4 linked regions of the Anolis sagrei genome follow. The protein of the gene in region 2 binds, or shares a complex with, the protein of the main gene of each other region. Links are inferred from orthologs where the notes say so. Each region holds a gene or a part of one and is shown on either strand. Other genes may lie near its edges. The genes, in order: SPTLC1, ORMDL3, SPTSSA and SPTLC2.

Region 1 (7,645 bases), on a different chromosome or scaffold from region 2:
TTCTCTCCTGATGTTTCGCCTATATCTATGGCAGGCATCCTCAGAGGTTGCTTGCCATAGATGTGGGCAAAACGTCAGGAGAGAATAATTCTTGAACATGGCCATACAGCCCAGAAAATTCCCAGCAACCCAGTATTCCTGATATGGTTTGTTGATTTATTCCATACATTTTTAATTTACTAATACAGATGACATATAAAACACTAAAATCCCAGGTTCATGGTGGCACGTTCAGAATGAAACCCATGATTTACTTAACAGCTCACCATACACACAAAAGGCTCACTAGATTTATAGAAGACAACCTGAACCTGTATATGTTTATTTAGAAATATGCTTAATTGCTAGTTCACAACTTCAACTAATGGTGGATCTACATTATAGAGTTAATACAGGTTTGACATTGCTTTAATTGCTGGCTCTGTGGTATGGAAACATTGGAACTGTGAGTTTAGTAAAGCACCAGCATTCTTTGGCAGAGAAAGCGAAAAACCTTGTAAAACTACAAGTCCTAGGGTTTCATAGCATTGAACCAGGACAGTGAAAGTGCTGTCAAACTACATTAATTCCACAGTATAGGTGCACCTCTTGTTATTTGACAATCACTAGTCAGTAAAAAAGGCATCCAGATTTAATTTACCTCTTAATAGCACATGTCCAATAATTCTTTAACAGCAGGGATTTTCATAATATATACCCAAGCACCACTATATTCAAAGACTAAGTTTCAGGGCATTCATAGGATAGTACTCCAAACTGCTCTGATTTGAGATTAATGAAAATTAAATTTATTTTAGCAGAATATTAGCTAATATAGCACGCTCAGCTACAACATGATCAAAAAATCTCCAGAGTAAAATAAATAAAGATATAAATAAAGGGTAGCATTCTTCAGATAGGGTGCAGAAATGTATAGCTCTGGAGGAAATTCAGATGTCAAAGTAATGATCAAACATTTTTCCTCCACCTTGCCACTAAAGTACGACTGGTGGGAACGAGAGAGGGCCTTGTCTGCGATCACCCCCCATCTCTGGAATTCCCGCCTTAAAGAAATAAAAATGGCACCCTCCCTTGCAGGTGCTGTAATTTCATTTCAACTGAACTTTTGGTGTTTCTGTAAACTGAGTTCTATGTCAATGTTTTTTCATGTTAAGTTACTTGATAGGCTATGTTACCATTTAATTTGAGGTTGCAAGTTTAATTTGACCGTAGATGCTGGTGCATTTTGGGACTTGGTTGGGTTGTTCTTGTACTGTATTTGAATTTATGATCTTGTAATGGCATTGAATGTTTGCCTTTCTGCTTGTTGAAATCTGCCCTGAGTCTCCTTAGGGAGATAGGGCGGAATATAAATAAAGTTGTATTATCATAGTATTACCTTACTGACACAAAACACAGTATGACACAGATATGTATGTTGGATTTTGTATCACAAAATCACAAGTTGAACACTTCCCAAGTGTCTAGGACTGTGCAATGTATTTTTGAATGATGCGCGCAGATCCAAGTAAGGTGGTCTTTTACAGTGGACAAATTGTGATTTAGTCAGTGATGATGATGATGATGATTATTATTATTATTTGAAACACAATAAGATGAGTCCACAGCAGACACTCTGCTGGCTGTTGAATTGGATCACACGTCCGACACTTCCCAAGTGTCTAGGACTGTGTGATGTATCGGCGAATAACGCTTGCAGATCCCAGTAAGGTGGCCTTCTGCAGCTGGCAGATGGTAATTTTGTCAGTGCCTATTGTGTTTAAGTGCAGGCCAAGGTCTTTAAGCACTGCACCCAGTGTGCCAATCATCACTGGGACTACCTTGACTGGGTTGTTCCAGAGTCTTTGCTGTTGGGCTTGGCCTCATGTAAGCCACCCCGAGTCCCCATTGGGGAGATGGTGGCGGGGTATTAAATAAAATTATTATTATTATTATTATTATTATTATTATTCAATCTTTAAATCCGCATATCGTGTCAACTTTTCCAGTTGTTTCTCTGCAATCTTGCTTATTATTATTATTATTATTATTAAACATTTGCTCCTGAACATTTATTTAATACATATCCCATCTGTCTCCCACGGGGCATCTATCATGTAGAATCAATGCAGTTTGTCACCACTCTAATTGTCATGTCTTAATGCAATGGAATTAAGGGAGTGCTGGTGCCTCACTAAACTGCAACTCCCAGGATCCCATAGCATTGAGCCATGGCAGTCAAACTGCTATAACTACAAAGTGCAGAAGTACTTTAGCTGAGATCCATCCTTTTATCTCCTGCCCTGTTTCTCCAAACAGGGACATGCCAAACTGACTTGACAAAGCCACACGTCCAGGCACCGCCTCCTTATGTGTAAAATGAAACTGCTGTGATTACACACCTTGCACGCCCACACAACTCAAACTCACCCCTTTCTGAGATTTCCCTCCCTCCCTGCCTTGATAACTAAGGTCCCTTCCGCACAACTAAATGAATTTTCACATCATCTGCTTTGAACTGGGATATAAGGCAGTGTGGACTCAGATAACTCAGTTCAAAGCAGATATTGTGGGATTTTCTGCCTTGATATTCTGGGTTGAGTGGTGGTGTGGAAAGGCCCTTATAAGGCACAGGAACCCAAAGGCACCAGGTTCTGTCTGGTCTTGGAAGTTCAGCCAAGCCAGCTTTGATTAGTCCTTGGGAGTCCTGTTGGATGTATTTCAGGAACTGGCAAAACCAGCTCTGAGCATCCCTTGCCTAAGAAAACCCTATGGGATGCATATAAGGCCGCCATAAGTTGATAGCAGACCTATTAATGGGGGGAGAGGAATCCCTGAGAATGGCGCCCTCATCCCCTTGAAGCCCTCGCCTCTTTTCTTTCGGAGGGAAAGAAGGCGAAGGGCCGCCCGCGCCTTTAAGGCCGCCCCTCACCTCGTAGAAGGCCTGGACCATCTCCACCAGCACCCACTGCTGCCCCATGCCCTCCGCCGCCATCGCCACCAGCTACTTCCGGGTCTCGGCGAGCCACGGCGCAGGCGCGCGTTGACGTCACGCCGGGTATAAAACAAGAGGGAGGCGCTCACAGGGAGCAAGAGAAGATGGGAGCATCGTCAGTGTTGTCTCTTTGGCCTCGCAGTCTGGCTGGGGTTGCTCTGTTTAGGAGGAAGGGATGTGATTCTTAAAGGGACAGTGACATCAATGAAGTCTGACACCAATTTAACTATCATGGCTCATTGCTTTGGGAATTGTAGTTTTATAAAGCCTTCAGCATTCTCTGCCAAATAGTCCTGGTGCCTCCCCAGGATTCTGTAGTGAAAGTGGTGTCAAACTGCATTAATTCCACAGTGTAGACGCCCCCTTAGTTCGGCAGGGATTATTTACTGGTTTGAGTATCCCTATGTGAAATACTTGATGGGTTCAAAATGTTTTCTTATGTCTGCCAGGATTTTCTTGGCTATTCCATTTCACATTGTGTGCTCATTGTTAGTTTTGAATCAAGAAAGTTTGCTGAAACTTTTTCTTTTTGCTCTTACAGGAGAAATATTCTCCTTTGCATGTTATTTCTATCCCCGCACCAGATAATATATTTTTGTCAGTTTGTTTTGTTAAAAATGTAATACAAATCATAGAATCATACAATCAAAGAATTGTCGAAGGCTTTCATGGCCGGAATCACTGGGTTGTTGTAGGTTTTTCGGGCTATATGGCCTCTAGACCATGGCCGTATAGCCCGAAAAACCTACAACAACCCATACAATCAAAGAGTTGAAAGAGACCTCATGGGCCATCCAGGCCAACCCCCTGCCAAGAAGCAGGAATATTGCATTCAAATCACCACTGACAGATGGCCATCCAGCCTCTGTTTAAAAACTTCCAAAGAAGGAGCCTCCACCACACTCCGGGGCAGAGAGTTCCACTGCTGAACGGCTCTCACAGGAAGTTCTTCCACATGTTCAGATGGAATCTCCTTTCTGGTTGCTCCTGACACGATAAATAAATAAAACCAGATATTATGATATAGCATTAATAATGTCCAGGAATACATCAGCTTCAATAACTTGGCACATGGGCCCCTTCCACACAGCTAAACAAAGCCCTACATTATCTGTTTTGACCTGGGATATATGGCAGTGTGGACTCCGATAACAGATGGCCCTTCCACACAGCCCTATATCCCAGACTACCAAGGCAGAAAATCCCACAATATCTGCTTTGAACTGAGTTGTCTGAGTCCACACTCAGGACCCTTCCACACAGCCCTATATCCCAAAACATCAAGACAGAAAATCCCACATTAGCTGAGTGTGCATTCAGACAACCCAGTTCAAAACAGATACTGTGGGATGTTCTGACTTTATAGTCTGGGTCAGGGGTCCTCAAACTAAGGCCCGGGGGTTCATAAGAGTTCATAGGGATTTGACAAAGAGTCCATGGAAGTTCCTAAAGGTCTTAAAAGTTCTCAAAAGTTGATAAAAGTTCCCAAAAATTTATAGAAGTTGGAAAAAGTTCATAAAGTTTGGGTTACAGGGGCGTTGCCATGGGGCCAGTGTAGGTTCCCACATGGGGGAGAAATAGGGGATTATGGGATCATTCCAGCCTGAAAGATACAGCCAATGTTGTAATTATGCCTTCACACTTGATATATGCACCAGGAAGTCAGTGCCTGCCAGCTCCTTAGAAGTTACTTCTGAATAAATGTGCTTAGGTTGAGTGTGTTAATCATGAGTCAATGATCAACTGTCTAAACTGCAGAATTTATGCAGAGTGACACCATTTTAACTACCATGGGCCATGGCTCAATGCTGTGAAAGTTGTAGTTTTGCAAGGTCTTCAGCCCTCTATGCCAAATAGTCTTGATGCCTCACCAAATGACAACTTCCATGGTTCCATGCAGTTGAGAAATAACAGTTGAAGTGGTATCAAACTTCATTAATTCTACAATGTTGATGCATCCCTAGTTATACTTATTTATATTTTTCTTTCCTCCCAGGATGGCCCCTGTGGTGACTCACAACAGAGCAAACTTCCCCTTTTTTGGTAAGTAAGCAATAATTTTGCTTCTGCAAAGATCAAGGCATGTTGTTTTCATAATTGTGACACAGACCTATGTGTAAGAATGACCTATTAACCTTGACACTGACAATATTGGGCATGTGTGTTTCACACATTTACAGAAATGTTATTCTTTGGTGGATTTATCTCATAGATAGATAGACACATACACAGCAGTCACTTTGGGGATAAACTTGTAAAAAAGAAAAAGGAGATGGCGGCCTAAGAGAGGAGATTAAGCAAATACTACTTCTCTCACTCCAAGGACAAGGCAGTTACAGTTGGGATAGAGGGAGGGCTTTTCATCTGATTCTGGTCATAGGCATGATGGAGTTGTGCCTGCCTCTTCTCATCCTCTGAGGCCAGGACAGTGCCAGTTGGAATACATGGAGAGACTTCTACTTATCCCAACTACTGCCATTTAATGTGAAGTCTTTCTATTATCCACACCTCTGCCTCCAGTGCAAGGACCCTATTCTGGCCATCAGTTGTGAGGACCTTTTAGAAATTACATCCTCATCACACATCAATGCTCTGTCATCAGACAATGTACCTGATGTGAACTTTCCAATGTAAGCATTCCCAGAGGATAAACATGTAATTAAAATGATTTATTAAACAGAAATAAACATAACATGACAAATAACTTATTTTATACATTTAAATAAAATTCTCATTTTTCTTACACACATATGTCCTAGTTAACTCTGATTCTTGCTCTCCTAACCTCAGATCCCTAATTTGTGCTCATACAGAACAGCCTTTTAAAATTATCTCAGACATTGCACCAATTATCACACCCAACATATAATTCTGTCACCCCTCTCCATAGATTCTTACTTTATAATATCTAATATATATGCTATCTTAACATAGGATGGGTATCCCCTACCTTAAATGCTTGGGACTAGAATGTTTTGGATTTGTATAATAATAATAATAATAATAATAAGAAGAAGAAGAAGAAGAAGAAGAAGAAGAAGAAGAATCATCATCATCATCATCATCATCATCATCACCACCACCATTTTTATTTATACCCTGCCACTAACTCTCAAAGGGACTCAGAGTAGCTCACAAAGCACTCAAAGGTGCAAACACCAAAATACAAAGTGCAAAGACAATACCACAGAAGGAATAACAACCAACATAAACATCACAATCCCCCCCCCCCCCGGTTAATATCTATAAAATGTAACAATAGCTGCAGGTATAAAATAATTGCAACCAGTATCAGTCTCATAAAGTGCACAGTGTAATAGTCTCTAGGTCTTCAAATGTTAAGAGATTCTAAACATGGCCAAAGGCTTGCTTGCAGAAATAACCATGTTCTTCAGTTGTATACAGAAGGCTTGGAGAGTGGGGGCTAGCCTAATCTCTCACGTGAGGGCATTCCAAAGTTATGGGGCGCCACCGAGAAGGCCTTCTCTCTCGTCCCCACCAATCACACTTGTGATGGAGGTGAGACTGAGAGGAGGCCTTCCCTGGTAGATCATAGTGCCCATGCCGGTTCATAGAAGGAGGTGCAGTCTCAAAGATAGGTTGGACCTGAAGCATATAGGGCTTTACAGGTAATATACCTACCTACTGAGATATCTTGGAGATGAGGCCCAAGTCTAAATGTTTCATATATACATTATACATACAGCCTGAAAATATGTTTATAAACAGTATTTTATTTAAATAATTTAAATTTTGTGCATGAAACCAAGTCTGGATATATTGAGTCACGAGAAAGCAAAGGTGTGAGTATCTCAGCCAGCCAGAATATTGGAATTTTGGATAAGGAATGTTCAATTTGTATCTAATAAATGAAATAACATTTTCCACTGAAAAGTCCAGAACGTCACACTATTGTGAGGTGATACAACTGCTTCTTATCCTGTAAATGTGGCTAGAAATTCAGAACTCATAAAGCAAGTCCTCTTCTGCTTTACTTGCAAATTTTCAACTGCAGCGACATTTTCTGACTCACCTGTGAAATATTTCTTAAGAGAGCAATTCATCTGGGATTAATGATTATATCACGGATGTGATGAATTACCCGTGTAACAGCTCTCATGCGCAAAACATCTAGAAGTTTATGAAACACTGTAATTTCAGTTATTTGTAATAACATCAGATGGGGGAAAAGTGTTGGGAGTAGGGAGGGCTGAAGCAATAATACATTTCAGCTGGTCGCCGACGGCAAAACAAGCAGAGAAACAGGAACGACATCCTTTAGTTTTTAGCCCAGTCACACCCTCCACTTCTCTGGCTGCTTTGTCTTAGAAACAAATCTCTGAATAAATTATATGGTCATTAAAAATCATGATCAGACCTCACTTCCTACATGAAGCTGCTTCTGTTTTTATAAGTACTCTATTCCTTGAAAACAACTGTGTTCTAATGTGGGTGCTCAAAAAAATTGAAAAAATGGGTAGATCCCACCTCCAAATACCAAGAGGGTGAGTAAAGATAGTCTAGAAACTTTAAATCCTTGAATGTAAATATTGGAGATTAAAAAAAAAAACCCAGAAAATTTAATACAAGAATGAGGACCAGCCAAAGAGGAGTTGATAAGGAGAGAAGACACCAGCATGCAAGAAATTCCTAGGCAGATCTGTGTAAAGT
Region 2 (6,983 bases):
GGAGGCACCAGCAATTTTTGGAAGAGAAAACTAAAAAAATTATAAAACCTCTACTCCAAGGATGCCATAGTATTGAGCCATTGCAGTTACATTAGTGCCAAAATGCATTAATTCTACAGTGTAGATGGAGCCTTGGAAAATCTGTGCTCTAATCCTACACAACATTAGATGACACTGGGCACTTTCTCTGCTTTGTTGGGAAGAAGGCAGTTACACCACCTTGAGTCCATTGGAAGAAAAGCAGGAGGTAACTGCTACTAATAAAATAAAAATAAACCCTAGTGACAAAATACTTTGTTGGAGTTTTGAAGCTAAAATGACTCATGGTCCACAGACTCTAAATTTAGTCACTGGCTGTGACACGCAGAAAGAAGGTGTGCGTGCGTGTCCTCAACAGCATCCAGCCTTCGCTTCACCCTGGCGACGCATTAGACTTTCCTATGCTCGCTCCCAGTTACAACTAGAAATTGAGAAGCAAAGAAAGAAGGAAACACTGGCACTTTGAGCCGTAGTTTTAGGGAGTTGGGCGAAATGAGTGCAGTGTCCTCCCATGAACATTTCCTTCTATCCCAAAGACAGAGACTGAAAATAATTCACACTCAGAACTCTTACATTTCCTGTATGTTCCCTTGGTGACTCTACCTGCCCTCTTTCTTTGGAGATCTACATATTTTTCTAAAGGCCTCAACTGACGTTTTAAGTTACTGCAAAGCTAGAAATGTGGGAACGGGAGGAAAATTTAATCGTGGTGGCGGCAAAATTCTTATTTGGCAGTGTTCATGTCCTCATTTTGCCCAGACTACTGTTGGCACTAAATTCCCAACTTATCTCCTCATTACATTTCCATCTTAACCTAAAGCTGCTCGCCAACATATTGGAAAATATTTCTGATAATCCAAAAATGTCCACATAATTCTGTGTCTGGGTGCATCTACACCAGGCATGGGCAAACCTCGGCCTTTCCGATGTTTTGGACTTCAACTCCCACAATTCCTAACAGCCTACTGGCTGTAAGGAATTGTGGGAGTTGGTCCAAAACACCAGGCATAGTCAAACCCAAAGTTTGACCATGCCTGATCTACAATGTAGAATGAATGCAATTTGATACACTTTAACTGCCATGGCTCAATGCTACAGAGTCTTAGAATATGTCATTTGGTGAGGTGCCACTACTCACTGGCAAAGAAAGCAAAAGACCTTATTGCTTTCCATGATTTCATAGCACTGAGTCATGGCAGTAAAAGTGATGTCAAACTGCATTCATTCCACAGTGTAGATACACTTACAATTTCACAATTTCTCCCTGCTACTCCCTCATCTTAAGAGCTATTCTCCATCCATGCACACTTGCCAAGGAACAGCAACAATGCATGTTCCCTTTGCCACATCTCCTTTTCTGGAGGTTGTGAAGCAGAGGCTGAGTAGCTATTTGCTGCGAGTGCTTTGATTGTGCATTCCTGCAATGGCAGGGGGGTTGGACTGGATGACCCTGTAGGTCTCTTCCAATTCTATGATTTTATCCTTCCAAGACAACTCCGTTGCTGGACCACTCCTTGTTTGGTTAGGTTTACATTGTGCATCTCTTATCCTTATTTTATGATCCGCAAATACTTTAAAATCAACCCTTTATCCTCAAATAAACCCTTGTGCCAGCAGGACTGCTGACCAAAAGGTTGGCGGTTCAAATCCGGATAGCGGGGTGAGCTCCATCTGTCAGTTCCAGCTTCTCATGTGGGGCATGAGAGAAGCCTCCCACAGGATGGTAAAACATCTGAGCATCCCTTGGGCAACGTCCTTGCAGATGGCCAATTCTCTCACACCAAAGGCAACTTACAGTTTCTCCAGTTGCTCTTGACATGAAAAAAAAAATCCTCAAATACTCCAAACTATCCATATGGGTGGCTGAGACAGTGATGCCTTTGCTTACTGATGCTTCCATGCACACAAACTTTCTTTTATGCAACGGTCTGGAGAACAAGCCCTATGAGGAGCGACTTAAAGAGCTGGGCATGTTTAGCCTGAAGAAGAGAAGGTTGAGAGGAGACATGATAGCCACGTATAAATATGTGAGAGAGGAAATCATAGGGAGGAGAGAGCAAGCTTGCTTTCTGCTGCTCTGGAGACTAGGACGCGGAACAATGGTTTCAAACTACAAGAAAGGAGATTCCATCTGAACATTAGAAAGAACTTCCTAACTGTGAGAGCTGTTCAGCAGTGGAACTCTCTGCCCCGAAGTGTGGTGGAGGCTCCTTTTTTGGAGGCTTTTAAACAGAAGGTGGATGGCCATCTGTCAGGAGTGCTTTGAATAACAATTTTCCTGCTTCTTGGCAGGAGGTTGGACTGGATGGCCCATGAGGTCTCTTCCAACTCTATGATTCTATGTATATTATGGATTCAGGTTATTTACTAATCCCTTATCTCAGAATCTGAAATACTCCAAAATCCAAAACTGTCCACATCAGTGGCTGAGAGAGTAGTATCTTAGCTTAGTTCAATGGACACCAACTTTGTTCCATGCACAATATTATTTAAATATATAACATTTCATTTAGGTTATGTCCATTAGGGATGTATGACACACAAATGAATATTGTTTAGACTTGGATCCCATCTCCCAAGAGATCTCATTAGGGACATCTATGCAAAATTAAGCAAATGCAAATAGGTCTTTCATATAATCCAGAATGTGAAACCCCAAACATTTCTGATCCTAAGCCTTTTAGATAAGGGAGCCTGTGCTGCCCAGCAAACCCAACCTTCTCCCTTCCCATGGCTTAAAGCACCATCTGACCCTCTCCCCAAGCTCCCCTTCCATGATCCTCACTTACCTTGCAACAGAAAAAGGAAGAAAATGTCTCTCTCCAATGTGGATTAACTGGAAAAGCCTGGCCTTGGGCAATCGGGGGAAGGGGGGTCTCTTTCTCTGCTCTGAAAGACCCCCGCTGCTCAGACTTCTCTTCCCAAGAGCTGACAACACAGCAAGGAGCTTTCATAGCACCGCCCCCTTCGCATACGTCATCACTATCAGACAGTGGAGCATGCTGGGACATGTAGTTCTCTAAGGGAGAAGCTGGGACTCTGGCGTTGATCACATTCTTTCTTTGGAAGTGTTAAGACAAACTGCAGGATGAATTGGATTCCCCTTTAAGGGCAGAATTGAATAATAATAGTGAGGATCATTTATAATATTTTTGCCTACATCAATAGGAGTATATTGTCTAGATCCAGGCAAGTCATGCTACCCCTCTATTCTGCCTTGATTAGACCATACCTGGAATATTGTGTCCAATTCTGGGCACCGCAGTTGAAGAGAGATGTTGACAAGCTGGAATGTGCTCAGAGAAGGGCGACTAAAATGATCAAGGGTCTGGAGAAAAAGCCCTATGAGGAGTGGCTTAAAGAGCTGGGCAGAAGAAAAGGCTAAGAAGAGACATGATGGTCGTGTATGTGAGGGGAAGCCATAGAGAGGAGGGAGCAAGCTTGTTTTCTGCTGCCCTGGAAACTAGGATGTCGAACAATGGTTTCAAACTACAGGAAAGGAGATTCCACCTGAACATGAGGAAGAACTTCTTGTGAAAGCTGTTCAGTGGTGGAACTCTCTGCCCTGGAGTGTGGCGGAAGCTCCTTCTTTGGAGGCTTTTAAAAAGAGCCTGGATGGCCATCTGTCAGGGTGCTTTGAATGCAATTTTCCTGCTTCTTGGCAGGGTGTTTGACTAGATGGCCCACGAGGTCTCTTCCAACTCTGTAGTTCTATGATTCTATATCCAATTTTTCCAGCATAAAACTGCATTCAGACATTAGTTACATTTATATCTCATTTTCCCTGCATAAAGTGGGAAACAGAAGAAACAGATATGCTACCTTGAGCTTGTTGGATGAATTGGGGGACAGAAGATAATTCATTTATTTAGAGTACAGATTGAGTATTCAAAATGCTTGAGACCAGAAGTGTTTGGATTTTGGATTTTCTTGGAGATGAGTTCCAAGCCTAAACATGAAATACATTTATATTTCATAGACATCTGATATACATTGACTGAAGGTAATTTTATAGACAACGTTTTTTGGGTCATGAGCAAACCTTGCGAATACTGACCACCAGACAGAAAAGGCTTCACTATTTCAGTCATCTATATGGGCACTTTTGGAGTATTTTGGATACTGGATAAAGGATGCTTAACCTATTTTTATATTTCATCCTTTAGCTAGAAAGACTCCCAGAGTGGCTTACTAATTGTTAGCTTGACAATTCCCTGTCCCAGGGTTTGCAATCTAAATAAGACATGAAATATAAGGATATGGGAATGTCAGTCTGAAAGAGGATTCATCCAGAATGAAACATTTATGCTTAGAATACTCTTCTTTCCCCCAGAGAGCAAATTTAACTATTTTTAATAAGTTACTCCTCCCTAAAGACCTTTTGAAAATCTATCATAGTAAATGTCATGTACTTGGTTTGATAGTTTCAACCAGTTTGGGATGTAAAATTACCAAAAAAAACCCCATCTCCCAAGATCAACATGCAGGTTGAGTACCCCTTATACAAAATGCTTGGGACCAGAAGTGTTTGGAGTTTTGGATTGTTTCTAAACTTTGGAATATCTGTATATATGAATATGTTCATGATGAGATGTCTTGGAGATGGGACCTAAAGGGCTTCATGGCAAGATGTTGTGAACAGCCCTTGTGATCTCTCCAAGCTCTATGATTCTATATACAAAATTCATTTATGTTTCATATACACATTCATTTATGTTTCATATACACATAACCTGAAAATAACTTTATAGAATATTTTAACATAATTTTGGGCACTGGGTTTTTTTGGGCTATATGGCCATGTTCTAGAAGTATTCTCTCCTGACGTTTTGCCTGCATTTGTGGCAAGCATCCTCAGAGATTGTGAGGATTTTGTGCACCACCAGAAAGCAAAAGTGTCACTTTCTCAGACCCCACATGGACAGTTTTGGATTCTGGAGTATTTCAGATATTGGGTTTTCAAATAAGAGATGCTCATCGCAGGCCCGTAGCCAGGATTTCATTTCGGGGGGGGGGGGGGTGATTTTTTTTCAGGGGGGGTTCTGGGGGGCTGAGTTTCAGTGGGGGGCTGAGTCTGAGTGAAAGAGGGTCTAGCCTAGCAAACCTTTTGTATCATTACCCCAATACCCCCATGTATATGGGATATATGAGTATGGTGATCAGATCACGATATTAATAAACATAACAGTTTAAATAATGCACCAGTAAGGCCTTTTCGCAAACCACCATGAGAATTTCAGGGGGGGGGGGGGCTGAAGCCCCCCGAGCCCCCGCTGGCTACATGCCTGGTTCATTGTGTATCACCGGGGGCTCATCATGTGGAGCCCCCGATGATGCAGTGGGTTAAAGCACTGAGTTGCTGAACTTGTTGACTGAAAGATTCGAATCCAGGGAGCGGCGTGAACTCCCACTGTTAGCTCCAGCTTCTGCCAACCTAGGAGTTCGAAAACATGCAAATGTGAGTAGATCAATAGGTACTGCTTCAGCAGGAAGGTAACGGTGCTCCATGCAGTCATGCTTGCCACATGACCTTGGAGGTGTCTATGGACAATGCCAGCTCTTTGGCTTAGAAATGCAGATGAGCACCAACCCCCAGAGTCGGGCATGACTGAACTTAATGTCAGAGGAAAACCTTTACCTTTACCTTTACCATTTTACATATAAATTATTGTGGTCATTTTGGGTCTAGATGTTGTATTACATTTTCTGTTACCAATTATATTATTTTCTACTTGTCCAAAACAAGGAACACCACTGTGAAATTGTTTCTTCAGCCATAGAAATGTGAAGACAAAATCAAAGAGATTATTTATATACTGGGAATTTTCTTCTGCCTTCACTAATTCTGCTTATGTACCTTCCCAGTATTTTCCAAATAAAAAAACTAATATTTGTGGTAGGACCGTGAAAGGGGTAAAGAGAGAAAAATAAAGAGAAGAGCATCTGTCATGAGAATCCCTGAAGTTACACTATCCAGAATTGTGCATCTAATGTGTCAAAACAACTAACTTCAATCTTGAAAAAAATGCTTCATTCTATTTCCTGAAAGAATCCCAGCATTCTACCAACATGTTTGATTTATGAAACAAGAATGCATACTTGGGGACTATTGTTATTGATTAAGTTGAGGATCAATGTGTGTGATCAATGTGAGAAGAGAAGACTGGGAGATGACATGACAGTTATTATTAAATATCCGAAGTTATGCCACAAATATTTTAATGGCATGGAACAAGCTTGTTTTCTGTTGCTCTAGAGACTAGAACATGAATCATTTGATTCAAATGACCAGAAAACAAATGTCAACTCAATATTAAGAGGAACTTTTTTTTACTTTAAGAGCTAATCAACAGTGGAATAGATTGCTAGAAATGTGAGGACTAAAGGAAAGCATCAATTTATGGGGAGGGGGATTAATTTGGAGATCAATGCCTTAGTTTTGCCCCCAATATCGATACCCATTGGTTGATGGGGTATTTGGATAAAGGGGCCCAGAACCTAGATAATCCAGTTAGCCAAATAATATGACAACCTTAGTCCCAGAACATGAGAGTGCAAGTAAGTTTTCATCAGAAAATCAATAGCTATAGCATTTGTTCCCACTGCCACTAGGACTTTGATTGCACACAATCTTTCCTAAGACCTTTTTACTAAGAGCATTTTATGCCCATTTTGCTTTGTTTCATGGCTTGGACAGGGTCTGCCGTGTGACATTACATCACACCGAAAGGTGCTTCCTCCATCACTATAGGGAGGAAAGTGTGTTTTGTGTAGCTCCGATGGAGCTACCTGCACTTTCCTTGCCTTTTCCCCGTATGATGGGAGAAATAGTGGTGGGGCAATGCATGTTGCTGCATGTTACCACCCTTTCTCCCACCTGATGGGAGAACACATCCTGTCCCATTCCTACTGTATGATGGGGGAAGGAGAGCGGGCATGTGGGG
Region 3 (6,868 bases), on a different chromosome or scaffold from region 2:
ACACCATAACACAAAGCAAAAGCTTTCTATTTTGGCCACGACTTCACCCTAAAGAGCCAAATGAAGCCCAAGGCCACCTGTCACTTGTCCATTCCTGTTCTCATCTCACATCTCCTGCCCTATCACCAATTGACGCAAACCCCACAAAAAGAGTAAAGGTAAAGTAGGCAAAACCCAATTCGTGCACGACTGAGAATCATAGAATCATAGAATCAAAGAGTTGGAAGAGACCTCATGGGCCATCCAGTCCAACCCCCTGCCAAGAAGCAGGAATATTGCATTCAAATCACCCCTGACAGATGGCCATCCAGCCTCTGTTTAAAAGCTTCCAAAGAAGGAGCCTCCACCACACTCCGGGGCAGAGAGTTCCACTGCTCTCACAGTCAGGAAGTTTTTCCTCATGTTCAGATGGAATCTCCTCTCTTGTAATCAAGGGAAAATCCTGCTCTGAATTTAAAGGGGAAGGGAAGAACCACAGAGACATTCAATAGACATATAGGCTGAGTACCCTTTATCCAAAGAGCTTAGGAGAAGATGCATTTTGGATCTCTTTGAATTTTTGAACACCTTTATTTGCATATAAATACATAAAGGGAAATCTTGGCGATGGGATCCAAGTATTTTCATACAGAATATTTTTAATCAACTTAAGCATTACACCAAGCTTGTGTACTGATTGACTCATGCCTACATATGCCACTAATGTGATGCGCAATAAAGGGAGGACATCCCTCACCCCATGTCATAACACACAGCAAACTAAGCGTATTGCATAAGTTGTACCATTAGAAATCAAAGGGAGTCATTATCTCAGCAAACCCATAGTGAATTTAGGAATATTTGTTTTTAATTTTAGAATTTCACACAAGGAGCACTCAACCTGTAACATAATACAACAGTTACTGTGGTATACTATGTGTTGAAAAATGAATCCAAGTTCAAGTCCCAGCTGAGGCATAAAATTTACCAGGGGACCGAGTCAAGTGTTGAGAGCCAGCTGAGACCCTTATCTCTCCTAGGGCCCTCTCCAACATGTGTTTAAGTAGGATGAGGGAAGGCTCCTTCTCAGGGCTGGTACTGACACCTTGAACTTCTTTCCAGAAGAGCTAAGACCACCACCATCTCTGTTGTGTTTCCAGAGGGGTGTAAAGACCTTACTATTTAAGAATGCTAGTAATTAAAGTTTGAGCCGTGTTTTTGGGGCTGGGTTGAGTTTTAACGTCTAATATTTTATTTCAAAGGGGTTTTATACTGAGGAGATGGGATTGGGTTATGTTTTAACTTTGGTAATTATGTTTTAATTTTGTACTGGAGCCCCTCATGGCACAATAGGTTAAATCCTTGTGCCAGCAGGACTGAAGACCGACAGGTCAGAGCTTCGAATATTGGGAGAGAGCGAATGAGCTCCCTCTTTCAGTTCTAGGTCCCCATGTGGTGACATGAGAGAAGCCTCCCACAAGATGGTTAAACGTCAAACATGCTGTCATCCTCTGGGCAAGGTCCCTGCAGACGGCCAATTCTCTCACACCAGAAGCTACTTGCAGTTTTTCAAGTCACTCCTGACACTGAAAAAAATTGTATTATATAGTTTACATGTTGTAGGCCACCTTGGGTCCACTTGCAGAAAAAGGTGTGGTAGAAATATCTAGAATAAATAAAATGCTGGATTTGCCACTTTTCTATTACTTATTTATTTGTCATGTTTATATCCCGTTCTTCTCAACCCCAAATGCACAGAGGCACAATTTGATGCCAAACAGTTTGGTTTTTTTTTCGTGTCAAGAGCGACCACTCCTGTTGTGAGAGAATTGGCCGTCTGCAAGGACATTGCCCAGGGGACGCCTGGATGATTTTTTGATGTTTTATCATCCTTGTGGGAGGCTTCTCTCATGTCCCCGCATGAGGAGCTGGAGCTGATAGAGGGAGCTCATCTGCCAAACAGTACATACAATACATATCCAGCAAATAAAAATATACATAAAAACATCCACTAAAACATGCCATCATTAAAATTATTAAAATCCCATAGTCCATTAACATAATTGAGGTTGTTCCTATGATCATCACACCATTCCATGTTCACATATTGCACTAATAAATTAAACAGCGAGTCCACAAAAAGTAAACCACGAAGTAGCGAGGGACCACTGTATTCAGTTTCAATTTGTTTGCCCTCATCTGACCTACCTCACAAGCTTTTTGTGAGAACAAGCAAGCGGAAGAGACGCTCACTGGAGGAAGAAAGAGAGGATATAAAAATCCATGAGTAACAAAGGGTTGGAATTTTAAAAATCATCACGGCAGCTGTTTTAATTTTAATTGGGACGCTGAATTAAAATAGATGTCACACCTCACACGATTTCTTGCATACTCAATATTTATAATCAATTCAATTGCTACTCTGTTTTGTCAAGTGTGACTGCTAATGCCTTGTTGTAATTTCTTTTAATACTCTTGAACACCTCTCAGCAAATTATTAGGAGGCTTTGACTCAGGCCTGGGCAAACTTGGGCCCTCCAGGTGTTTTGGACTTCAACTCCCACCATTCCTGACAGCCTCAGGCCCCTTCCTTTTCCCCCTCAGCCGCTTGGCTGAGGGGGAAAAGGAAGGGGCCTGAGGCTGTCAGGAATGGTGGGAGTTGAAGTCCAAAACACCTGGAGGGCCCAAGTTTGCCCAGGCCTGAAATACACCCAGTGTCCTCCCTTCAGACACTCAGGGAGGGCCTGAGGGGCCTCCTTCCTCCACCAAAGCCAGGCCTTTCCCACTTCCTGTCCCCTCCTCTTCCTCCTCTTCTTCCCTCCCAAGTCCCTGAGAAGAAGCAGCAGCACGGAAAGGATACTGAACACCGTCCGCTCCCAGGGCTCCAGCATGTACAGCGCGGTGACCAGGAGGTACTGGTAATAGAACCACGACATCCGCTTCCAGGCCGAAGAGAACGCCATCACGCCGCCGCTGAATCTCCGTGAGTAAGGTAACCGCGCCTGCGCAGAAGGAGTCATATCCAGGCCCAGGCGGCAAGAAGGGGCGGGGCGAGGTGACGTCACGCACAGTGTCTCCGCGGATTGGCCAGGCCCGCTGAAACACTCACACTCGAATCCTCCCAAGTTTTTTTTCTGGACTTCAACTCCCAGAAGCCTCCGCTGCTTTCACCCATGATTAGGTATTCTGGGAGTTGAAGTCCAAATCCCCTGGAAGGCCATGGTCTGGGAAAAACTGAACCCTGGGTTGCTGTAGGTTTTCCAGGCTGTATGGCTATGTTCAAGAAGTATTGTCTCCTGACGTTTCGTCCACATTTATGACAGGCATCCTCAGAGGTTGTGAGGACAATTTCAACAGAAAGGAGGAAACCATGAAAATGAACAAAACAGCATATTATTTGAGGACACAGAAATGCTGGACCACTCTCACAACCACCATGTCAGACTACACAGAGAAGCCATTGAAATCCACAAGCATGTGGACAGTTTCAACAGAAAGGAGGAAACCATGAAGATGAACAAAATCTGGCTACCAGTATTAAAAAAAAACCTCTAAAATTACAACAGCAAAACAACAGAGGGAGAACAATCAGGGACATCTAATCACCTCTCAACAAAAGACTGCCCCAGGCACTAACAGGCCATCAAATGCTAATCAAGGTGGTCAGTTGAAACATTCACACCTAGCTCCAGCAGACAAGAGTCTTTTGTCCCACCCTGGTCATTCCACAGACATATAAACCCACTTTCCTAGTTCCCCACTACCTCTGAGGATGCTTGCCATAGATGCAGGCGAAACGTCAGGAGAGAATGTCTCTAGAACAGTGATTCTCAACCTGGGTCCCCAGATGTTTTTAGCCTACAATTCCCAGAAATCCTAACAGCTGGTAAACTGGCTGGGATTTCTGGGAGTTGTAGGCCAAAAACATCTGGGGACCCAAGGTTGAGAAGCACTGCTCTAGAACATGGCCATATCGCCCGAAAAAACCTACAACAACCCAGAAGTCCAAATCCCCTGGAAGGACATGGTCTGGGAAAAACTGAACCCTGGGTTGCTGTGAGTTTTCCAGGCTGTATGGCCATGTTCCAAAAGCATTCTCTCCTGACGTTTCGTCCACATCTATGACAGGCATCCTCAGAGGTTGTGAGGTCTGTTTGAAACTAGGCAAATGAGGTTTATATATATGTGGAATGTACAGATGGGAGAAAAAACCCTTTGTCTGCTTGAGGCAAGTGTGAATGTTGCAGCTGTATAGTACAATATAGTAATATTTTGTATTGTATAGTACAATATAGTAATGCTTAATACTGATATTGTAATATACTAATAATATAATATAGTGTATGTAGATATACCTTGTGAGAAGGGGTTAAAAGGGAAGTATAGAAATAAATAAATAACTGGCCACCTTGATTAGCACTAATGGCCTTGTAGCTTCGAAGCCAGGCTGGTTGCTGCCTGGGGGAATCCTTTATTGGGAGGTGTTAACTGGCCCTGATTGTTTCATGTCAAAAACTCCCGTTTTTTGAGTGATGCTCTTTAATTTACTGACCTGATTTTAGGGTTTTTAAAATACCGGTAGCCGGATTTTGTTCATTTTCATAGTTTCTTCCTTTCTGTGAACCATGAAAATGAACAAAATCTGGCTACCAGTATTGGAAAAAACCTCTAAAATCAGGACAGTAAATAAAGAGCAACATTAAAAAAAACTGGGGAATTCCTGACCAGCTGTTAGGAATTGTGGGAGTTGAAATCCAAAACACCTGGAGGGAAGGCCAAAGTTTGCTCATGCCTGATCTAGATGCTGTAGAATTAATGTAGTTGGACACAATTTTAGCCGCCATGGCTCTATGCTATGGGGTTTATAGTTTGGTGAGGCATCAGCACCATTTGGCAGAGAAGGTTTGTAAAACTACAGCTCCCATGATTCCACAGCATTGAGCCATGGCAGTTAAAGAGGTGTTAAACTGCATTAATTATATTATAAATGTAGATTGTATGGTGTCACGCACATGAACCTCCTCTCATGCCACACATTGTGGGCAAAGTACCAGAAAATTGGCATAACCAGCTACTATTAAGAAGCAAGCAGCACAACAAAAACAGCATGTGTTATTTTAATATTTAAATATTACAATGAATGCCGTCATTTCATCTGCATGTGCTATGCAGATGAAACAACTTCATTCATTTTAATATTTAAATGTTTTTGTAACATTAATGGTGTGTTTTTAAATTTACATTTTAATGTATTCACATTGTTTTAAATTGGCATTGTTTTTAGTTTATTGATAGCATAAATAGATAAAAGTACAATAAATAGGAAGCATTGTTGCAGTTGGATAACAATGACATCTCGGCCGCAGCACATAGGCATTTGAAGGTTCAAAAAGAAAAATTAGCATAGAGTTTTAGCCTTGCCGGTATATTGGAACAGTACAGAAACTGAACTTACAGAAAATGTATTGTGTAACCACAGGGATGTTTTTATGAAACATACTTTCCACTGAAACGCTGCACAAGGGTTTTATAGACAGTCATTTTGCTGTCACTTCCTCCTTCAGTGTCAGCTACCAATGCCACTGAAGTGATCTGGAACAAAGGTTGAAAAGGACAACTGAAATGACATTGAACAACTCGCAGGAGAGTTTGGGGCTCATCTGCTTGGGAAAGAAGAGGGGAGGCAGATGGCTTACCTAATTTGAGAACCACTCACTTTTTAAAATTGTTGTTTTAACTCAGTGCCCTCATATATCCTCAGATCACTGCTTAAACTGTGGGTCCCAACCCCAAATGGGGTCCCATCAGCTCAAAGTTGGAGTCATGAAAAATCTAACAACAGTAAAAATTTCTGAATGTCACCATTTACCCAAAATCAGAGTTGGAAGAGACCACATGGGCCATCTAGTCCAACCCCCTGCCATGCAGGGAAAGCACAATCAAAGCACCCCTGACAGATGGCCACCCAGCCTGTTTAAAAGCCTCCAAGAAAGGAGCTTTCACCATACTCCGAGGCAAAGAGTTCTATTGCTGAACAGCTTGTACAGTCAGGAAGTTCTTCCTAATGTTCAGGTGGAATCTTGTTTCCAGTAATTTGAACTCCTTGGTCTAATCTCCAGGGCCTGCTCCCTCTTCCAATGTAGTGTTTACAGTGAACTCTGCAGAAAATGCTTCCGCTGTCCTTCTGTTTAGCAAGCCTTGCAAATGCTGATTTATTAACAGTAAATGTTTGGTTTGTATACCTATTTTATATACCTATATACTTGGGGTCACAGAAACATTTCTTTGGCGGAAAGGGATCGCAACTAGAAAATATTTAAGAAGCCCTGCTCTAGAGCACATGGAAGCAATTCTACCATGCCTCTGGTTTTTCCTAAATTCCTCTAGTTTTCCTTCAGCAAAAGGCAATGACTGAAAATATTTGTCAAGTGTTGAAATATTCCCCAACATAAGATATGGTAAAATTGTTCCTCATATTTCGATTTAACGAAAACAATTCAAAATACAGAGGAAAATTGAGCCACATTTTCCTAACTCCTAATTTTTCAGCATTCTGGGCATTTTTACATTCTAAATGTAGCTCTTTAATCCCATTGTATCTCCTCTTGGCAATATACGTAAAGGAGAAAAAAAATACTCTTATGCCTTAGCAATGTTCCACTTTTGTTTTTCTTCAATGGCATTTTTTAAAAATCTGATGTAAACACATGCAGAAAATTCTTATTTTTCAATAAAAAGCGATCTCTTCATTCTTTTTCTAGTATTTAGATTGGTAGTAATCAAGAATGAAGTATACTGATGCACGGTCTGCGCTAGACTAAAAGCCAACTTTCATAATCTAATATAACTTTCATAATAATCTAATATTTAATAATCTAATATCAAATCT
Region 4 (7,910 bases), on a different chromosome or scaffold from region 2:
ACGTAAATGGGGTCCTTCAAAAAACAGTTTAAAACCTATCTTTAGAAAGGACGAGGATCAGATGAAGAGAAACTACTGCCAGACTGCTGACTGGATAGTATGAATGCACTCGGGCCTTGTTAGATCACATTAGCCCACTTACCAACTTTCACCATACAATCTATGTACACATTTGTGAACCTTTGTGTTGTTTTGATATATTAATTTGGATGTTTTATTTTTAAGTTCTGTGTTAGTTATAATTTTAATTGAGTATGTTTTATTCAAATTATAGTTGTTATGCTTAAGTTGCTCTTTATGTGGGGTTATCTTGGGTTTTTATATTTGTATTTACTATTATTGAGGCATTGAATGTGTCCCTTTTTGTTTGTTGGAATCCGCCCTGAGTCCCCCAGGGGAGATAAGGTGAAATATAAATAAAGTTGTTGTTGTTGTTGTTGTTGTTATTATTATTATTATTATTATTAATGGAAGGCTCTTCGCAGTCCTTTTTTTCAGTAAGTCTCTTGATAAAAACATCTGATACATCATGGAAAGAAATGACAAGTCGAGTGCTGCAGGGTTCTGTCCTGAGCCCCGATCTGTTCAACATCTTTATTAATGACTTAGATAAAGGGTGAGTACAGGCATGAACAAACTTCACCCTCCAAATCTTTTGGACTTCAACTCCCACAATTTCTAACAGCTGGAAGTCTGTTAGGTATTGCAGGAGTTGAAGTCCAAAACACCTGGAGGGCCCAAGTTTGCCCATGCCTGGGTTAGAAAGCATGATCATCCAATTTGCAGACATCAAATTGGGAGGGATAGCTAATACCCAAGAAGATAGGAGCAGAATTCAAAACGATCTTAACAGATTAGCGAGATGTGTCAAAACTAACAAAATGAAGTTCAACAAGGACAAATGCAAGATACTCCACTTAGGCAGAAGAAATGAAATACAAAGATACACAATAGGGGACGCCTGGCTGGACAGCAGTACGTATGAAAAATATCTTGGGAGTCCTCATGGACAAGTGAAACATGAGCCAACAATGTCATGCAGTGGCAAAAAAGGCCAATGGGATTTTGGTTTGCATAAATAAGAGTCTAGTCTCTAGATCTAGGAAAGTCATTCTACCCCCCCCCCCCCCATTCTGTCTTGGTCCGACCACACTTGGAGTCATACTGTGTCCAATTCTAGGCACCACAATTGAAGGGAGATGTTGACAAGCTGGAATGTGTCCAGAGGAGGGTAAATAAAATGATCAAGGGTCTGGAGAACAAGCCCTATGAGGAGTGGCTTAAAGAGCCGGGAATGTTTAGACTGAAGAAGAGAAGGCTGAGAGAAGACATAGACATGCATAACTATGTGAGGGGAAGTCATAGGGAGGACGGAGCAAGCTTGTTTTCTGCGGCCCTGGAGACTAGGATGCGGAGAAATGCCTTCAAACTACAGGAAAGGAGATTTCACCTGAACATTAGGAAGAACTTCCTGACTGCGAGAGCTGTTCAGCAGTGGAACTCTCTGCCTCGGGAGTGTAGTGGGGGCTCCTCCTTCAGAGGCTTTTAAACACAGGCTGGATGGCCATCTCTTGGGGGTGCTTTGGATGTGATTTTCCTGCTTCTTGGCAGAATGGGGTTGGACTGGATGGCCCAGGAGGTCTTTTCCAACCCTATGATTCTATGACAGTAGTTTTCGACCTGTGGGTCCCCAGATGTTTTGGCCTTCAACACCCAGAATGGCAATTTTCCTGCTTCTTTGCAGAATGGGGTTGGACTGGATGGCCAGGATGACCGCATTTCCTTCCTAAAACTTTTTATTTCCCCTCAGAGAAATTCAGGAAATATTCAAATGTATTATGAAATAATGTATTTTGAATATTCTTGGCAGAATGGGGTAGGACTGGATGGCCCAGGAGGTCTCTTCCAACCCTGTGATTCTATGACAGTAGTTCTCGACCTGTGGGTCCCCAGATGTTTTGGCCTTCAACTCCTAGAACTGCTGGTAACCTGGCTGGGATTTCTGGGAGTTGTAGGCCAAAACACCTGGGGAACCAAGTCGAGAACCATGTCATAGAATCATAGGATCGGAAGAGACCTCGTGGGCCATCCAGTCCAACCCCATTCTGCCAAGTATATTCAAAATACATTATTTCATAATACAAGAGTATTTCCTGAATTTCTCTGAGGGGAAAATATAAAGTTTTGGGAAGGAAATGGGATTGGACTGGATAGCTCTATGTGTCTAATGCAGGCATGGGTCAACTTGGGTCCTCCATGTGTTTTGGACTCCAACTCCCACCATTCCCAACAGCCTCAGGCCCTTTCCTTTTCACCCTCAGCCGCTTAAGCCTGAGGCTGTTGGGAATGGTGGGAGTTGGAGTCCAAAACACCTGGAGGACCCAAGTTGACCCATGCCTGTTCTAACGTACTGAAAACAACTTATCTCCATCATTCCCTAATTCAAGGTTTTAGGAGGAAATGTTGGACTGAATTTTCCGTGAGTCTAACCTATTTTGTACACTTTACTCCTCATCCTGAAAGAAATCCTTCCAAAACCCAAATGTCTTCTGAGGGGAAATCATGGGGATGGCCTGGAGGCTCCTTGAGGCCTCTCCCTCCAATATGGTTCTGAGAGGAGGAAGGGAGGAAGGGAGGAAGGGAGGAAGGAAGGAGCGCAGGGTTGCCACCCGGTCCTCTCCACTGCCTCCGGAAGGCGCCGCCTCAGGGAAAGAGGGGAGCGGGCCGGAAAAGCAGGCCTTCCCTCAGGGGCGCGGCCGGCGGGGTTTCCTGGCAGCGCCTGCCTCACTCACCTGGCTGTGGGGCTCGGGGGCGCTGCGGACGAAGCCGTTCTTATGGCCGGGGAGGCTGCAGCCGTTGGCTCGCGGCGGGCCAGCCAGCTTCTCGGGCCCGCGCACCATTTTGCCGGCTCGGACGGCGAGAGGAAGAGAGGCGGCGGCGGCGGCGGCAGCCTTAGAAACCAACCAACCCTCCGCCCGTCGCTGCGCCGCTCTATCGCACCGGAAGCTCAGCCGGGGAAGCCCGCCAATCCGAGGCCGTTACGTCACCTTGGGGGGCGGAGACGTCCCCGTGCATGGCAGTTGTGCTCTGTCTCCGCCCCTCACGGTGACGTCGCGGCTTCCGATTGGCGGGCCTTGGCAAGCTGAGCGCCCGTTCTTTTCGATTCAGAAGAAGGAGGGGGGACTGGGAGGAAGGGAGGGAGGGAGAGGGTGAGAGAGAGGGAGGGAGGGAGAGAGAGAGGGAGGGAGAGAGGGAGGGAGAGAGAGAGGGAGGGAGAGAGAGAGAGAGAGGGAGGGAGAGAGAGAGGGAGGGAGAGAAAGAAAAGGAAGGGCCTGAGGCTGTTGGGAATGGTGGGAGTTGGAGTCCCACCATTCCCAATAGCGAGAGAGATAAAGTTGAACACTGAAAGCCGCCCACTATATAGGTATTATATATAATAATCTATATAAATACATATATGTTTGAAGGACTAGATTTAGTAAACAGAGTCCCAGAAGAACTATGGACAGAAGTCCGCGACATTGTTCAGGAGGCGGCAACAAAGTACATCCCAAAGAAAAAGAAAACCAAGAAGGCAAAATGGTTGTCTGCTGAGACACTGGAAGTAGCCCAAGAAAGGAGGAAAGCAAAAGGAAACAGGGATAAGGGGAGTTGTTGTTGTTGTTGTTGTTCATTCGTTCAGTCGTTTCCGACTCTTCGTGACCTCATGGACCAGTCCACGCCAGAGCTCCCTGTCGGCCGTCACCACCCTCAGCTCCTTCAAGGTCAGTCCAGTCGCTTCAAGGATGCCATCCATCCATCTTGCCCTTGGTCGGCCCCTCTTCTTTTTGCCTTCCACTTTCCCCAGCATAATTGTCTTCTCTAGGCTTTGCTGTCTCCTCATGATGTGGCCAAAGTACTTCAACTTGGTCTCTAGTATCTTTCCCTCCAATGAGCAGTCGGGCTTTATTTCCTGGAGGATGGACTGGTTGGATCTTCTCGCAGTCCAAGGCACTCTCAGAACTTTCCTCCAACACCACAGCTCAAAAGCATTTATCTTCCTTCACTCAGCCTTCCCTAAGGTCCAGCTCTCACATCCGTAGGTTACTACAGGGAATACCATGGCTTTGACTAGGCGGATCTTGGTTGCCAGTCTGATGTCTCTACTCTTTACTAGTTTATCGAGACTGGACATTGCTCTCCTCCCAAGAAGTAAGCGTCTTCTGATTTCCTGGCTACAGTCTGCATCTGCAGATCTTTGCGCCTAAGGGGAGATATGCCCAGTTAAATGCGCAATTCCAGAGGTTAGCCAGAAGAGATAAGGAACTATTTTTAAACAAGCAATGCATGGAAGTGGAAGAAGACAACAAAATAGGAAGGACAAGAGACGTCTTCCAGAAAATTAGAAACATTGGAGGTAAATTTCAGGCAAAAATTAGTATGATAAGAAACAAAGATGGCGGGGACCTAACAGAAGCTGAAGAGATCAAGAGAAGGTGGCGAGACTATACAGAAGATCTGTATAGGAAAGATAATAATATCAAGGATAGTTTTGACGGTGTGGTGAATGAATTAGAACCAGACATCCTGAGGAGTGAGGTTGAATGGGCCTTAAGAAGCATTGCTAACAACAAGGCAGCAGGAGACGACAGGATCCCAGCTGAACTGTTTAAAATCTTAAAAGATGATGCTGTCAAGGTGATGCATGCCATATGCCAGCAAATATGGAAAACACAAGAATGGCCATCAGACTGGAAAAAATCAACTTATATCCCCATACCAAAAAAGGGAAATGTGAAAGACTGCTCAAACTTCTGTACAGTGGCCCTTATTTCTCATGCCAGTAAGGTAATGCTCAAGATCCTGCAAGGAAGACTCCAGCAATACATGGAGCGAGAGTTGCCAGATGTTCAAGCTGGGTTTAGAAAAGGTAGAGGAACGAGAGACCAAATTGCCAATATCCGCTGGATAATGGAGAAAGGCAGGGAGTTTCAGAAAAACATCTACTTCTGCTTCATTGACTATTCTAAAGCCTTTGACTGTGTGGATCATAATAAATTGTGGCAAGTTCTTGGTGGGATGGGCATACCAAGCCACCTTGTCTCTCTCCTGAGGAATCTGTACAAGGACCAAATAGCAACAGTAAGAACTGACCACGGAACAACAGACTGGTTCAAGATTGGGAAAGGCGTACGGCAAGGCTGCATACTCTCACCCAACCTTTTTAACTTGTATGCAGAACACATCATGCGATGTGCGGGGCTTGATGGATGCAAAGCTGGGGTGAAAATTGCTGGAAGAAACATTAACAACCTCACATATGCAGATGACACCACTCTGATGGCCGAAAGCGAGGAGGAGCTGAGAAGCCTTCTAATCAAGGTGAAAGAAGAAAGCGCAAAATCTGGGTTGCAGCTAAACATCAAAAAAACCAAGATTATGGCAACAAGAATGATTGACAACTGGAAAATAGAGGGAGAAATCGTGGAGGTCGTGACAGACTTTGTATTTCTAGGTGCAAAGATTACTGCAGATGCAGACTGTGGCCAGGAAATCAGAAGACGCTTACTTCTTGGGAGGAGAGCAATGTCCAATCTCAATAAAATAGTAAAGAGTAGAGACATCAGACTGGCAACAAAGATCCACATAGTTAAAGCAAAGGTATTCCCCATAGTCACCTACGGATGTGAGAGCTGGACCATAGGGAAGGCTGAGCGAAGGAAGATAGATACTTTTGAGCTGTGGTGCTGGAGGAAAGCTCTGAGAGTGCCTTGGACTGCAAGAAGATCCAACCAGTCCATACTTCAGGAAATAAAGCCCGGCTGCTCACTGGAGGAAAGGATAGAAGAGGCAAAGATGAAGTATTTTGGCCACATCATGAGAAGAAAAGAAAGCTTGTTGTGGATCGATGTTGTTGATCCTGTTTGTTGCATTGTTATGTTTTAATTGCACTGTAAACCGCAGTTTAAAAGCGGCTATCTTCCTTCGCTCAGCCTCTCACATCCGTAGGTGGTCCAGCTCTCACATCTGTAGGTGACTATGGGGAATACCATTGTTTTAACTATGCGGATCTTCGTTGCATAAAATATTGTAATATAATAATGCTAATATATTACTATATATTAAATATATATTAAATATAATTATTACTGAGAATATATAATCTCTCTCTCTATATATAAATGCTCTGTGCCTAATGAGTGCCTTAAAAACAAAAAAACCAATGAACTAAATCACAACAAATTTGGCAACAAAACATCTCACAACACAAGGAGTGACCATCACTCAAAAATTATGATTTTGTCATTTGGGGGTTGTAATTACTGGGATTTATAGTTCACCTACAATCAAAGAGCATTCTGAACTCCATCAATGATGGAATTGAACCAAATTTAGCACACAGAGCTCCCTTGACCAACAGAAAATACTGGAAGGGTTTGGTGGGCATTGACCTTGAGTTTGGGAGTTGTAGTTCACCTACATCCAGAGAGCACTATGGACTCAAACAATGACCAAACTTGGCACAAGCACTCAATACGCCCAAATACGAACACAGATGGAGTTTGGGGGGACATAGACCTTGACATTTGGAAGTTGTAGTCACTGGGATTCACAATTCACATACAATCAAAGAGCATTCTGAACACCACAAATGACAAAATCGGGGCAAACCTACCACACAGAACCCCCATGACCAGGGCAAGAAAATGTAATCAAAGCCTCCTGACAAAGAGTTATCCAGCCATAGATATAGACAGATATGATTCACACACACAAATATAGTATTATAGATTTGAAAGGGACCCCTGAAGAAGGACAATTATATGTTGCATGTTCCAGAGCAGGAAAACCAGACACTCTCCACATCAACACTGACAAAGAAACAGCAAGAAATACTGTTTACCCACAAGCATAAAAAATTACATATATTAGAAACCAACACTTTCTCGTTACTTTATTTTCCATATCAACAGACTGGGCCACAGCAACGCGTGGCAGGGGATAGCTAGTAATATATAAAGATATACTGTTTTATTATTTTATATTTGTGTATTTTAAGTTGCAATGTTTTTGATTGAGAGCCGCTTTGAGTTTCCATATGGAGAGATAAAGCGGGATAGAAATAATTAATAAATTAATAAATTAATAAATATCAGCCTCCTCCCAGTAGACTCAAGTCAAGGAAAACTTTCATGAGAACAACCACTCCTCTTAATGTGCCTTCAGCAACAGCAAGAATATCCTCGTGGGCATTAAAATCAGGCAATTCCAACTGGATAGTCCCCCATGAGGGTCTTCCTCCAGGGGCAAACCAAGAACAGGCAACTTGGAAGTTCTTGCACAGATTCAGTTGAGTGGCCAGATCAAAAGACAACCTGACTAATGGCACTACCTAGAAAAATTCTCCACTTTATGTGACAGTGGAGCAAGCCCCTGGGCAACGTCCTTGCAGACGGCCAGTTCTCACACCAGAAGTGACTTGCAATTCCTCAAGTTGCTCCTGGCACACACACACACACACAAAGCTGGATGGTTAAATAAGGGATGTGTCTCCCCAGGCATTTATGCTGCATACAACTATTGTATAACCCACACATGGGCAAACTTGGGCCCTCCAGGTGTTTTGGACTTCTGTTAGGAATTGTGGGAGTTGAAGCCCAAAAAACTGTTGTGCTTGCTGAATTTGTTTCTACATAAGGCTAGACAGCCAGTACTATTGAACTTTTTATTAATATACTTTTTATTTTAAAACTAATTTTAAAATTAATTTACTGTGTTCTTATATGTAATTACTGTATGTATTATTGATATGTAATGCCATCAAATTGTGCCAAATGTAAGCCGCCCTGATTCCGCCCCCCCGGGGGGGGGGGGGGTGTTGAGAAGGACGGGGTACAAATGTTTGAAATCAATATTAAAATAAATAAACA

What was found.
Region 1: the proteins of ORMDL3 (region 2) and SPTLC1 are in contact, whole or in part, in a cryo-EM structure (PDB 7K0N), measured with the Homo sapiens proteins. The link is inferred for Anolis sagrei from reciprocal best matches to the Homo sapiens genes ORMDL3 and SPTLC1. Residues at the interface, in NP_001307730.1 of Homo sapiens: Gly92, Val93, Gln94, Phe95, Thr96, Ala97, Lys100, Thr103, Ile104, Ile107, Tyr110, Phe111, Ser114, Tyr119, Gln121, Phe124, Thr128, Leu131, Met132, Leu139, Pro140, His143; in NP_006406.1 of Homo sapiens: Ala16, Leu17, Ala20, Pro21, Tyr23, His24, Leu27, Glu28, Leu31, Ile32, Trp34, Ile35, Leu38, Leu39, Ser41, Lys42, Thr43, Tyr44, Lys45, Leu46, Gln47.
Region 3: the proteins of ORMDL3 (region 2) and SPTSSA are in contact, whole or in part, in a cryo-EM structure (PDB 7CQI), measured with the Homo sapiens proteins. The link is inferred for Anolis sagrei from reciprocal best matches to the Homo sapiens genes ORMDL3 and SPTSSA. Residues at the interface, in NP_001307730.1 of Homo sapiens: Val36, Leu38, Ser39, Ile40, Pro41, Phe42, Ser44; in NP_612145.2 of Homo sapiens: Ile44, Tyr50, Thr51, Val54, Phe55.
Region 4: the proteins of ORMDL3 (region 2) and SPTLC2 are in contact, whole or in part, in a cryo-EM structure (PDB 7K0O), measured with the Homo sapiens proteins. The link is inferred for Anolis sagrei from reciprocal best matches to the Homo sapiens genes ORMDL3 and SPTLC2. Residues at the interface, in NP_001307730.1 of Homo sapiens: Met1, Asn2, Val3, Gly4, Thr5, Ala6, His7, Ser8, Pro12, Val16, Ser19, Arg20, Gly21, Ile22, Leu24, Ser25, Leu28, Phe63, Val67, Lys68, Gly69, Thr70, Pro71, Phe72, Glu73, Pro75, Gln77, Arg81; in NP_004854.1 of Homo sapiens: Glu65, Thr66, Pro67, Met68, Ala71, Val72, Tyr75, Tyr86, Gln116, Phe118, Glu119, Asn120, Phe121, Tyr122, Tyr127, Trp134, Asp259, Glu260, Leu261, Asn262, Val267, Arg271, Ile279, Met320, Val495, Val496, Gly497, Phe498, Pro499, Ala500.

What each region holds. Positions count from the first base shown.
Region 1 is NC_090022.1:235,620,871-235,628,515, forward strand, and holds the start of SPTLC1 (serine palmitoyltransferase 1), read right to left. Parts: upstream 3,004-7,645; 5' UTR 2,975-3,003; coding exon 2,912-2,974; intron 1-2,911. UniProt on the Homo sapiens protein: Component of the serine palmitoyltransferase multisubunit enzyme (SPT) that catalyzes the initial and rate-limiting step in sphingolipid biosynthesis by condensing L-serine and activated acyl-CoA (most commonly palmitoyl-CoA) to form long-chain bases.
Region 2 is NC_090026.1:42,251,409-42,258,391, forward strand, and holds the start of ORMDL3 (ORM1-like protein 3), read right to left. Parts: upstream 3,001-6,983; 5' UTR 2,829-3,000; intron 1-2,828. UniProt on the Homo sapiens protein: Plays an essential role in the homeostatic regulation of sphingolipid de novo biosynthesis by modulating the activity of the serine palmitoyltransferase (SPT) in response to ceramide levels.
Region 3 is NC_090021.1:300,873,099-300,879,966, forward strand, and holds the start of SPTSSA (serine palmitoyltransferase small subunit A), read right to left. Parts: upstream 3,015-6,868; 5' UTR 3,000-3,014; coding exon 2,840-2,999; intron 1-2,839. UniProt on the Homo sapiens protein: Component of the serine palmitoyltransferase multisubunit enzyme (SPT) that catalyzes the initial and rate-limiting step in sphingolipid biosynthesis by condensing L-serine and activated acyl-CoA (most commonly palmitoyl-CoA) to form long-chain bases.
Region 4 is NC_090021.1:307,157,368-307,165,277, forward strand, and holds the start of SPTLC2 (serine palmitoyltransferase 2), read right to left. Parts: upstream 3,013-7,910; 5' UTR 2,901-3,012; coding exon 2,793-2,900; intron 1-2,792. UniProt on the Homo sapiens protein: Component of the serine palmitoyltransferase multisubunit enzyme (SPT) that catalyzes the initial and rate-limiting step in sphingolipid biosynthesis by condensing L-serine and activated acyl-CoA (most commonly palmitoyl-CoA) to form long-chain bases.